Linked DNA regions of Rattus norvegicus. The protein of the gene in region 3 interacts with the protein of the main gene of each other region in a pairwise test. Links are inferred from orthologs where the notes say so. Each region holds a gene or a part of one and is shown on either strand. Other genes may lie near its edges.

Region 1 (4,252 bases), on a different chromosome or scaffold from region 3:
TTTCCTGCATAGTCACCCATTCATGTGTTGTTCTGAAAGCTATTAGACTTCATTTTTTTCCATCATCCATTTGTGGTTCTATATGACTTACGTTTACTATTAAGAGGCTTTGTCAAAAAAAAAAAAAACTTTTTTAGCATCTCTTCCAATATGCCATTGTGGTTTGGCTTCATAACATGAAGCCTATGCATTTATCAACTTCAGATACCTGTTGACCACAAAGATATGCCCTACGACCAAAACTTGATGATGAACACGGAAAAATGGGACGCTTCATTTAAAGAGAAAGCTCAGCTGTCTGGCACGTTAACTCACTGCACGTCGACACCAAGGGTCAGGTTGTATCTGAATTTCTATCAGAAACATACAATCCTGTTTCCCTCCTTTTTATTAACTTGATATCAACACCACACATTCACTGCTTTGGATTTCTTTCAAATAGAAAGAAACATTTATTTTTTAATAGAAATATGAAATAATAATCCTAGATCAATTTTACTTTGATTTTAAAATGATTCTGAAGTTCCCACCTCTTTGAATAGAGTGGCAAAAAAAAAAAAAAAAACCTACTTAACTCAACATCTAACAAATTAGTTTCTGTCCTTCAGCCAAGTCTTCCAGCGCCACTAACAATCTGATCCTGTGGGATGTCAACAAACATGCAATTCACAAACAGCATGTGAATTTCAGGCACTTTAAACTCTGATATTTGAGTTAATTTTACTTTTAAACATTGAACAGTGCCACCAATATTTTGTCAACATTGGTCAAATAAGATCAGATGTTCATATCAATCATCTATTTTTCCTGGCTTTTTCCTTTTCGGGACCTATGAATATTAGCACATCTTGCAAACTGTAGTAAAAACATAATGTGCTTCTAGATATTTGGTTCACATTCAGCCAGTTATAGGCTTTTTGTCCCTGTAAGGTTCTAATTTTTTTTTTTTTTTTACTTCTTCTCTTGATACTACCAAGGCAGGACTAAAATGAAAACCCTTTTCATTAATGCAAGTTCTTTTTTAAAAAGTCAGACAACAATTACTGCTTTCTCATAACTCAATTGTTTTAGGTCTAACAAGCCTTGAGTCTGCTCTCTGCCGGCGAAGAACCAGGAAAAAGCTTAAATCCTATGGTAAAATATGGAAGCTTGACCTCCCAAGATACCAGAAAACAATCACTCCACAGATGCTCATCAAAGTTACGGATACAAATCATTTTTTTTTTTTTTGGTTCTTTTTTTCGGAGCTGGGGACCGAACCCAGGGCCTTGCGCTTCCTAGGTAAGCGCTCGATACAAATCATTTTAACTTGTCAGGGCTGGAGACCCCCCAGCTAAGTGGACTCCACCACTCCTTTCAGAGGCACCCTAGATATAAGTCCACTCAGTGGAGATCGCACAACTATGTAGACTATAGGTAGAGGTAAGTAAGAGACATTGAAGCAGATGCAAACTTCTAAATCCCTGCAGATTCACCGATGGACAAAGCACCCACGACCGTGCCCACTGGGGCTATGGCACAGACTGACTGGATTCCGCAAACATCCACGGATACTTAAGCTTACCTTTTTACAAGCTTAGCTATGATTTCCAGGAAAAGCAGCTGTATTGTTTTTCTTCGGGAAAATGTTCCCAAGTGAGTTAGAAAAGGTTTGCCTGCGTCCTCTGGTGGAGCCTGTTTGTCTAGTTGGACCTTTTTAAGTTTGTTAGTCCGCCAGAGGAACTAAAGGTGCACTGGTCAAGAGGGAGCACTGGAGGTCTGGTTCCTACACAGGACCCAAAACATCTGCAGCAAGCTACTTGGACTAAGTAACTCTGAGTCACTGGAGGGATACTACTTATCTCCCAATCCTACTGGATCAAAAATGCTGAACCTTTGCTCTCTCACAGCCAGTGGGCAGGAGTTAACACATGGTTGGCAAGGCGTGATCTACCCAGAGGAAGGGGGTGAGGGGTCAGGGGAGCAAAGCCACAAACTCGATTTTATTTCATCGGCTCGACGGCCCATTTTGACCCAGAATCCACTCACACCCCAACCTGAGCATCCCCGCCTTGAGATCAAAGCCCAGACTCATTCAACCAGACATGCACCTACCCAGCCTCCGTTATCCTGGATCCAGGTGTGCAGATGCCGGTTCAGGTACTCAGTCATCCACAGAGCGATGTTGTCCACCAGGGGTGACATCTCCCTGTTGACGCTCTCCACACACATGACCCCACCGAACTCAAAGAAGGCCACAATCCTCCCCCAGTTCACCCCATCCCTGAAGAGTTCCTCCACCACCGTGGCAAAGCGTCCCCTCGCGGTGAAGGGCGTCAGGTGCAGCTGACTGGACATCTCTGCAAAGTCGCGACGGTAGCGACGAGAGAAGTCATCCCCAGCCCGGCGGAGGGTCAGGTGGACCACAGGTGGCACAGGGCTGAGCGCAGGCCCAGCGGTGGCGACAAGGGGCCGTAGAGGCGACGTCCTGGCAGCCGTGTCTCGGTGCACAGCGGGCGTCCGGTTGCTCTCAGGCTGGAAGGAGAAGATGCCAGGGGTGGGGGCAGCCCTCAGGGGCGCGGAGTCTTCATCTCCAGTATCCCACTCGTAGCCCCTCTGTGACAGCTTATAATGGATGTACTTCATCACGATCTCCCGGTTATCATACCCTGTTCTCCCGGCTTGCGCCATCCTTCCGGGGAAAGAAGCTGCAGGTACCAATAGCACTTCGCGTCCCGGCTCCCGCCCCACGGCCCGAAAGAGAGAAAAAAGAAGTTATAATCCAGCGCTTTTATTGGATGTGCTTTGCATTCTTGGATGAAGGGGTGTCTTTAGTTATGACGAACACTTGATTCTGGTGTTTCCCCCTTGGCATGAGATGCAGAAAATTTTTATTCAAATTCCTTTCAGCTTTTTATTTCATGAGGCACATTATTTATTAAGCTTGGTTAATATCAATCTACTTCCTCCGCAATGCTGAAAGGTGAGGAGGCAGGACGATGTAAGCAGTTAAAATCAGGTGTGTTTTCCTTTATATATTTATTGTAAGAAAGGTATATCCGCTACAAGTTACACGTTAAAGAAAATGCATTAAATTGTCTGGGAATTAAATCTGCTCGAATGCACTTTAAGTAAAAAATATTTCAAACGCGTCCATTGAAAGTTACATCAAACCAAATTCCTGTGCAAAGAACTTACTGCATTTTCTAAGGACCGCATGATCTTCTGTCAAGTTTCCCCCCTTTTTTTGGTAAAACCCAAACAAATACAAATACACCATCGATCTTCAGAAGTCTCCTTGTATAAGCTTCTTTGAAACTTGCAATGAATCAGGAGTTGGGGTCTGGAGGATAGGTGAAGAAAAAAATCAGAATTGTGTCCTCACACTCCGGTTTCACTGAGAATGTCAATCCGTAGGAATCCCAACCAGAGATCTCAAGAGCACCGCAGCGGGGCAAAAAGGCAGCGGCGGCGGCGGCGGCGGCGGCAGCAGATGAATTACAATGTTCAGTATTTGCAGTATTTGCAGAAGTCCTGTGATTCTCCCCTCTTCTCGCCAATTTACACTCGCGCACACACACGCTGGAGCGCAGGCATGGATCGGTATCCACCAGACCGCTTCAGACCTCCAGGGGAGAGACACGCCAGGGGGACGATGGAGGAGCGGTGGCCGGGGAACGGGGACCAGAATCCTCTTCTGATTAAACTCCGAAGGGCCAATGCGTTTTCCGAAAGGGGAAAAAAAGCAGCTTGCTAAATGCAGGCAAGGACGCGCTGGGGCCGCCGGTGCCCAAGGAGCAGCCCGCGCACTGTGTGTGGTGCGCTGCGGGAGAAGGAGGTGGTGGGGGAGGGTTTGCCCCCCCTCTTTTTCCTAAAAAGGATGACTGCTACGAAGTTCCCCCCCCCGGCCCCCTCTTCCGCTGCACCCCACCGGCGCACCCCGCCTCCGGGCTGCGCACCCTTTCTCCTCCTCTGCTGCGGGCGGCGCTGGCGGCCGCCTCCTCGTGCTCGCGCCGCGCAGCCCGTTCCGTGGTGACGGCTGCGGCTGGGGAGGGCCCGGGCACCTCGGTGTTGGCGGCGGCGGCTCGGCGGGGACCTGGACGCGGGGCGGGAGGACGGGCCGGGGAGGAAGGGGGCGGGCGCGGGGCGGGGGGCCCGGCCTCTTACTTCATTCTCCGTCGGAGCGCCTGGTTTCCTGTACGTACGTCACCGTTCATTCAAAAAAAGAAGAAAGAACCCTCCTCTGAGCGCCCGCCCGCCGCCTCCGCCCGCC
Region 2 (4,290 bases), on a different chromosome or scaffold from region 3:
AAAGAAAAAAAGCACACCAAAACAAAAAACCATCTTTCTTGGCAGCAGGTGGTAGGTTAATCCACACTTACAGCAGATATGTTTGGGATTTGCAATGTAGTATATTTCCTCTGTCCTTGGCATGGGAAGTCCACTACCCTGAACAGTCTTCTCAAGGGCAAACTTTTGAGGGTGGTCATCCTTGCTCGTCATCCCAGTGTCTGGGAGTTGGAGGTGAGTACATTGCTCCAAGGTGTACCACTGACTCAAGTCCTAAAGATGAGGAGGAGTTTCTTAGTTTAGCAAGTGCCAATTGACAAGTCCTGGTGAAGCCTCACTCTGGATGTCCCTTTACCACCACAGCTTCTTTTCATTAGCACACTCCGGCCTTGAAAAAGTCTCCAAATTTTGTTTTGTGGACTCTGACTTCAGCTCGAACTTTCTTCTTCAATGCAACGGTATCCTTAAACTAAGTCTGTCCTCATTTCTTTGATATCCTCCTTGTTGACCTATAGCAGTAATCAAATGATAGTTGTTTCCCAACTTGACTGATTTGATCACATTTTATTAATGTGTGAACTGCAAGAGAGGAGAGAGAGAGAGAGAGAGAGAGAGAGAGAGAGAGAGAGAGAGAGAGAGAGAGAGAGAGAGATGGAGAATTTAGCCTTATGTTTCAGTCAATTATATGCATCATAAAAAGTCCAGAAAAATGAAGCCAGTGCAACGGTAAACAATTCCAAGTCTTAAAATCTTAGGAGACTTCGTTCTAGTCCCTTGTTCTATTTTGAAATTCCTGTCTTCTGAGAATCCATGTTTTTTCTCCTTATTTGAAAATAGTAGGGCTAATATGTACTGAAGTACAAGTCTTGAGGGGGAGACAGAATGAGAAAGCATTGTGCTCTGTTGTACAGAAGACAGAGTCACTACCAATAAATGTTTACTCCTTTCTTAAGCCTCAAAGAGAATCATTCGCTTTATGTTGCCAGAGTAATGTACCTTAGGTACTCATCCATGGTTTCCTCCCTGAGGTAAGAAACTTCTTTGTAGATAACCTTCTTGCAAATGTTGCCAACTCCTGGCCATTATCGAGTATTTAATACATACATATGTAAGGTATGGGCACATGAAAGGATGTGTGCATGCCAGCAGAGTTCTAACAAACCAATGTTGAATTCAAGATACCCAAACTGCTTAACAGTTTACCTATGGCCATACCAATTGACCGTGTCAGTTTCAATGGGGAGTGTAACAGAGGTCTTTTAAGATTATAATCTACATACAGGCATGGAGGTGATCACAAAATACCACACATTTCAGTTTTCTTGAGAAATGCCAGCCCCAGAAACAGGATCTAGAGGCAAAAGGGGAAATTACTCCAACGTGCTTTTCATTTCCTGCTTTGGGCACTGGCTAGACTACGTAGGCTGAGCTCCATGAACCTCAGGGAAGGGGCTCTTTCAGGGTTTGGTTTAGAGATCCTCATCCTGGTAGTTATTTTGCTGGGAAAGAACATTCAAGTGCTCTGCCTACGTAGAGTCCTGTGAAGCAGTGGAATATCATTCTCAAATAGAGAACATGGACGAAGATGGATATACTCAATTAGACTTCGGCACTCGAAACATCCACAAAAGACCTGTAAAATCAGAGAAAGGTATCCACTTTCTTTCTGCTAATAGTACCTTCATTCTTATTTAGTGAAATAACAGAAGTAGAGACCTGGAGAGACTCTTGATTTGTAGGACTTCCTACAAAAATATATTTTCATATATATATATATATGTATATATATCATATATGGTATATATATGGTATATATTTGGTATATGTATAGTATTTATTTGATATATATTTGATATATAGTATATATTTGATATATATTTGGGATATCAAGAGATAGATAGATAGATAGATAGATAGATAGATAGATAGATAGATAGATAGATAGATAGATTTGCATATAGTGCAGTGACTTCCACAAACTGCTTTTAGTTTGTGGCAGAAAACAGGACTAGTCCACTCTGCGGTCATAGTTACTTCTTCGGTGGGAAGTGACACTTGTAACATGAGTAAAGGAGAAAAATGAAAGAATTTTAATAGAGTTGCTTTTTGTTTGCCTTTTAGTAACTCGTGAGGGGGCCAGGAAACAGATAAACAAACAAACTGTACAATCGTACAACATTCGATGCTAAAGTGGTAGGGGATAAAACCATGGAGGAATATGTGGCAAATAAAAATGAATGCATTCAAGAGAAGCTAGGAGTCAAAGGATTTTAAATCCCGAATATAATATACTTTTTTGTTAAGAGATTAATTTGGATTTTATAAAATGGGAAGTTAGTCAGTAATGAAAAAGACATGCTACATCAAAATGTCTCATTATCAGGAGATATATATTAAAACAGAAACAAGACAAGAATAGAGGATATTAAAGCATCTCCTCATAAAGTGAGTGTTTTAGTCTCTTTCCGGGTCACCTCTTGGGCAGCTCTATGACTTGGTTTCCTGCTGGTGGTGTCATAAGCGTAAAACAAAGTCAGCTAGAGCTCCCAAGGACTAAGCCACCAACCAAAGAGTACACATGGGGGAACCTTTAGATCCAGTTACAGATATGGCAGAGAATGGCATTGTCTGCCATCAATAGGAAGAGAAGCCCTTGGTCCTGTGAAGACTCTTTTCTCTGGTGCAGGGGAATGCCAGGGTGTTGGGGTGGGAGTGGGTGGGAGGGAGGGGGAGCATCCTCATAGAAGCAGGGGGAGGAGGGGTGGAAGAGGGGAATAACATCTGGAATGTAAATATATGAACTATCCAATAAGAAATAAAAAATAAAAACAAAGTCAGTTCACTGTTAAAGGAAGAGTTGACTCACAGGTTCTAACATCAGTTGGCTTTCTTCTGCTTTTTGGTGTTCACATTATGCAATTATTTTCCTCTTATAACCACATACACAATTCCTTTCTTGTGAAATTTGCTTGGAAAATAGTACAGAAGTTAATTGACGGAAGGGGCAAGGCTTATATGCTTATGCTGTGAAAATTAAAGTGCTCACTATCAACAACGGTATTCGAAGGTGCTATTGATCCAATTTCAAACCTGGAAGATAAAAACAAAAATTTAAAAAGGACATAGAGAAAATAAGTTGCTTAAATCATGCATCATATAAATGAGAAGAAAAAGCTGTCCTTAGCAGTTGGTGCTGCTTCTTCTACAGAAAGCTGTTTGATTTATAACCAAGTAGGACTTCAGGGAATGAATAATGCCCAGGCCTATAGAATAGCCTGTGAGCCTACTATGACCATGATACCATAGCAGAAGGAAGAGAGGAAGAAGCAACCTGAATCTGGAGGACAATGGAGACTCACACTGCAATTCTAGAGTCTCAAGTTGGTAGAGCCTAGTGGCTGCTGATCCTTTTAGAACCATCCCCATTTCAGTGAGCTGAGCTGTTGAAGAGTTCCACAGTCTTCCCTCATTTTCTTTCTCATCTCATTGACTTTCCAGGAAGCCCAGCTCCATCTTCTCGTTGGCGGTCCATTGCGGTAGCTTTAGGAATCCTGTGCTTGCTCACAGTAGTGGTCGCAGCAGTGCTGGGTGCCCTAGGTGAGTATGGGTGAGGGAGGTTGATAAAGGCACGGACAGTGATTATGAAATTAATTTATGCCAGGCACTCTCTCAAGGGGTTGGCGTGTATAACTTCATTTAATCCTTACATTAACCCCATTGGGTTTGTGCTATTAATTTGTCTCAGTTATAGGAGAATTTAGAAATTGGAAGATTAACTCTTCCATAGTTATAAGCTAGTCAGTGGTGGAATTATAAGAAATGTAGAAAATCTGCTTCATAAAACACATACTTTTCAGTATATTGCTCTACTGTTCTACATAGATAGGTGACTTTTTTTAAAGTGGAATTTAAAGTATAAGTTAGTGGAGGGAAACTTGCAGAGCCAAAAGAAACACAATCTTCCTTAGAAGACAGCTATATTAAGTTAAAATGAGTTGTGTGTAATTTTTTTGAAAGCCTCATGATACATGGGAATTATCTTACACATGATCTTTAATAAAGAATATCTTAACTTTACCAAGTATTGCCTGAGGCACTGAAAAATTACTAAGCAGATGCTTTGTGAAGACTTAATAGATCTCTTTAGGTTTCTATATTTCGTGAATCCTATGCCGATAAAGTTATATGATACCTTCAAAGAACCTTCGTCACTTATTAGTCAAATGCTTGCTGAGAACAGAGACATTCTATGTATTCCATGTTTGGTAACTCTCAGATTGCTAGCTAGCATTTTGAAGTAATTGAAGAAAG
Region 3 (3,648 bases):
TACAAATGAAGATTATAATTATGGAGTGTTTCTGTTGCATTTTGTTAAAAATGTGTTTATACAGATTTGTGTTTCCTTTACCCAATTTATCATGTAGTATCAGTTAAGAGAATATCAATGGTTATCATAGTTTAGTTTTAGATATTAAAAGAATTTCCCTGAAGGGACATTACCACCCAAATGCCTGAGTTTGTAATGCATTTACAGTTGTGGGGATAGTTAATACCATGTCAGGTGGGGTTCTGTTGAGCTTACTGACCTTAACTCTAGTGTGAATGTGAAAAACTCATCTGCTTTATTTAATACTTACTTTTCCTTAGTCTGAGGAAGATTATATTGAGAGAAGAAGAGAAGTTGAAAGTATCCTGAAGAAAAACTCAGATTGGATATGGGATTGGTCAAGTCGGCCAGAAAATGTTCCCCCCAAGTAAGTCTGTTTTCAACATTCTTTTTTTTTTTTTTTTTCGGAGCTGGGGACCGAACCCAGGGCCTTGCGCTTCCTAGGTAATGTTTTCAACATTCTTGGTCAAGGTTTTTCCTTTGACAAGGGGACACTGATTGGTACTTTCTTTATACCCTAGGGAGTTCCTTTTTAAACACCCGAAGCGCACAGCTACTCTCAGCATGAGAAACACAAGCGTTATGAAGAAAGGGGGTATTTTCTCAGCAGACTTTCTGAAGGTTTTCCTTCCATCTCTGTTACTGTCTCATCTGTTAGCCATTGGATTGGGGTAAGTGATGTTTCTATGAGAGTATGGATACCCTATGACAGGGTGGATGGATCTTGGTGATTCTAGCCCCCAGCAATTTATTTCTGCATTGTTTATGGAGAGAGATGATACTTCCAAGTCACTGTTAGGTCAGGTAAAAATCCTGAGCTATGGAAGGCCCTTGTCTTTCACAGGGGTTCTCATGCTGGGTCTCTTTCTTGTGCCACCTCTACAGTGGGTGGATGATCCTGTCTTTTGGCAGGAATAATTAATTAAGGCCTTCAGGTTTCTGCTTTTGTATCTAGTTTAGACTAAAACAGACCAGGGAATACAGCTGTGGCTTCTCTAGATGGGACCAATGCTAAAGAATGGGTCACCAAAGGGACACTATGTATTCTGGGCTGGCCGCACAGGGATGAGATTGGGTTTCAGATCTTCCTGTGTCTACCTCCTGAGTGCCGAGATTACAGATGTCTGCGTACCCAGCGCTATATAATATTATGGCTAAGCACTCTACCAGCTGAGCTACATCCCCAGGCCTTACTCTTCCTTAGGCCTATCTATACCCTCTGTCCATGTCAGGGTGAACTCACCCTGTATATGGAGAATGGCTGGGATGCCACTGTGGGCATCTGGCCCATGTTAGTTGGGGATATGTTTGGGACAGAAGGCTCTGTAGTCTGCTTATTCTTTTCCCCAAAAGCTGTCCTTGTGGCTGACACTCAGTTTGATCTCTTGGGATTTTGTGGGTCTCATAGGTACATGCGATCCCAGTCCTCCCTGCCCTTATCTTTCTGCACTGCAGACCCTCAGCATACCTACCTATAGAGCTGCCTATAGAAATGAGATGAAATGGCTGCCTGGGTGCCAGAGGCTCCTCCTAGCTTGCAGGGCTGGAGTCTTACCTGCCTTTACCACTCTCCATGTGTAGTTCTCTCCTGGTGCTTGGTCTCACGGACGACAGGTTCATCCCCATCACCTGGGGCAAGCAGTAGGGTTCAGTGGCAATTGGGAAGCACAGGCAGGGGAATCCCTGAATTATAGGCCAGAGTTACTTATTGAGATCTGGTCTCAAAACACAAAATAGAACAGGACCAGCAAGGGGAAAAAACTTGTGGACAGGGCCTAGGAATTTGTGTGTTCAGTCTCCAAGCTGAGTTTTCTCTTCACAGAATCATTTCTGGATCTACTGTCTCTGTCCTTCATACTTCCCAGTCTCAGAACTTGATGTCATCTCTACCCAAGATCTCTTGGCAATTTCCAGTCTTTCATGAACACTGCCCTCTTTAGTTCAGATAGTTCACTGCCCAGTCTTATTTCTTCCCAGTCTGCACAGACCTGGCCAGGTGGAATTCTTTCCAGTCATTTGCCTTCCTGATTGCAGAGAAGGGAGGCTTCATTACTTATTCCTTGGTTAGGCTTTGAGGTTAGTGGTAATGAACTGGATATGAAGCCAGCCTGCCCTTGCCCTTCAGCAGTGTGGCTCGTTTGGTATACAGAAGGGAATGCGAAGCTGTATATAATACTGATAGAATGTGGAATTGGTTTGTACTTAGATTTGAACCTGGGACCTGGTACATGGTAGACAGACACTCCGAAATTGAATTTCAACTCCTATTGTTAATAGTATTTTTTTTTTTGTACATTCAATCTCTTGCACCACTAGAATAATTGAAACAATTGAAATTAAATTTTAAGTAAGAAAAATTAGACCAATATGAAATACATATTAGATGACTAAAAACACTTGATAAAGGTTGCAGACAGTAGGGCTGGAGAATGGCTCAGTGGTTAAGAGCACTGCTTGTTTATCTGGAGAACTTGGGTTTAAGTCCCAGCACCTACATGGCAGCTCTAGTTCCAAGGATCTGACACCCTCACACAGAGATATATGTAGGCAAAACACCAATGCTCATAAAAATAATAAAATCATAAACAGGAGAAAAGATTACAGTCATACTTTATCAAGGGTAAGGTAGCTAGCTAGGTCCCCTCTAAAAGCTGTGGCCATGGCCTGTTTGGGCCATGTGAAGTCACCTGAGAATTGTGAGACCTGACTGATTGCCATCCCTTTCCTCTCTAGGATCTACATTGGAAGGCGTCTGACAACTTCCACTAGTACCTTTTGATGAGACTTGGATCTGCCTTCTGCTCACACAGTGAGGATTCACGCTGAGCTGTGACAGCTAATTGAAGAGCTAGCATGATCCTTGGGTGTCTGCACTATGTGTGTTTATTTGTTTTGTAAATGCGGTGTTCCTGATTTAGTGAGACAGAATAGACTCTTACCACGACCTATAATTATACCTATGGGATCAATTAATAAGCATGTCAGACTGATGCCTATTGTAGCATTTATTAGTAAATTTCTTTGAATATATTAGATATAAATAGTATAAATAATTTTAATATAGTAGCAATAGTGTATTTAAAAATGATCTGTAATTGTAATCCAGTTAAGACACCTTACACTTCAAAAGAATGACTTAAGTGATATTAAAATCATTAAAGGGTTTTCCCCAAAGGAATTCTGTGGCCTTATAATCCTATTATGTAGTAGAAAATTAAAGGGTGTGGGTTATTTGTAAAGGCCTCTTACTTTATGAATTCAGTAGCAAGGAGAGACTAAGGTTACCCACAAACTCCACTTTGCAGTCCCCCTCTTCTTGCTTGCAGGATGAGGATTCCAGCCTTGCTGTCCACCATTACCTTGGGTGGGCAGTTGTGTTACGCCTTTATCTCTCTGCTGAGTGAAGTTCTACGGTTTGTACTTAAATTTTGTGTGCTTTTAAAATCAGCTGTATTGTAAGCAAATCTGTCTACTTTAAAAGACTGGAAATGAAAAAAATCTTTGCCAAATTCTTTGGAGAATACTGGATTTGCATATGAATTAATCAGTATCCAGCACTTGTGTTAAATCAGGCGTCCTCCCAGTCTT

The links.
Region 1: the proteins of Bnip3 (region 3) and Bcl2 interact in a two-hybrid assay, tested with the Homo sapiens proteins (2 studies listed by BioGRID and IntAct). The link is inferred for Rattus norvegicus from reciprocal best matches to the Homo sapiens genes BNIP3 and BCL2.
Region 2: the proteins of Bnip3 (region 3) and Clec7a interact in binary tests that used the Homo sapiens proteins (3 or more experiments, as listed by UniProt). The two-hybrid records come from large-scale screens. The link is inferred for Rattus norvegicus from reciprocal best matches to the Homo sapiens genes BNIP3 and CLEC7A.

What each region holds. Positions count from the first base shown.
Region 1 is NC_086031.1:23,363,995-23,368,246, forward strand, and holds the start of Bcl2 (apoptosis regulator Bcl-2), read right to left. Parts: upstream 2,907-4,252; 5' UTR 2,671-2,906; coding exon 2,095-2,670; intron 1-2,094. UniProt on the Homo sapiens protein: Suppresses apoptosis in a variety of cell systems including factor-dependent lymphohematopoietic and neural cells. Regulates cell death by controlling the mitochondrial membrane permeability. Appears to function in a feedback loop system with caspases.
Region 2 is NC_086022.1:164,597,024-164,601,313, reverse strand, and holds the start of Clec7a (C-type lectin domain family 7 member A), read left to right. Parts: upstream 1-1,486; 5' UTR 1,487-1,554; coding exon 1,555-1,630; intron 1,631-3,477; coding exon 3,478-3,576; intron 3,577-4,290.
Region 3 is NC_086019.1:203,137,902-203,141,549, reverse strand, and holds part of Bnip3 (BCL2/adenovirus E1B 19 kDa protein-interacting protein 3), read left to right. Parts: intron 1-320; coding exon 321-427; intron 428-581; coding exon 582-731; intron 732-2,793; coding exon 2,794-2,839; 3' UTR 2,840-3,648. UniProt on the Homo sapiens protein: Apoptosis-inducing protein that can overcome BCL2 suppression. May play a role in repartitioning calcium between the two major intracellular calcium stores in association with BCL2.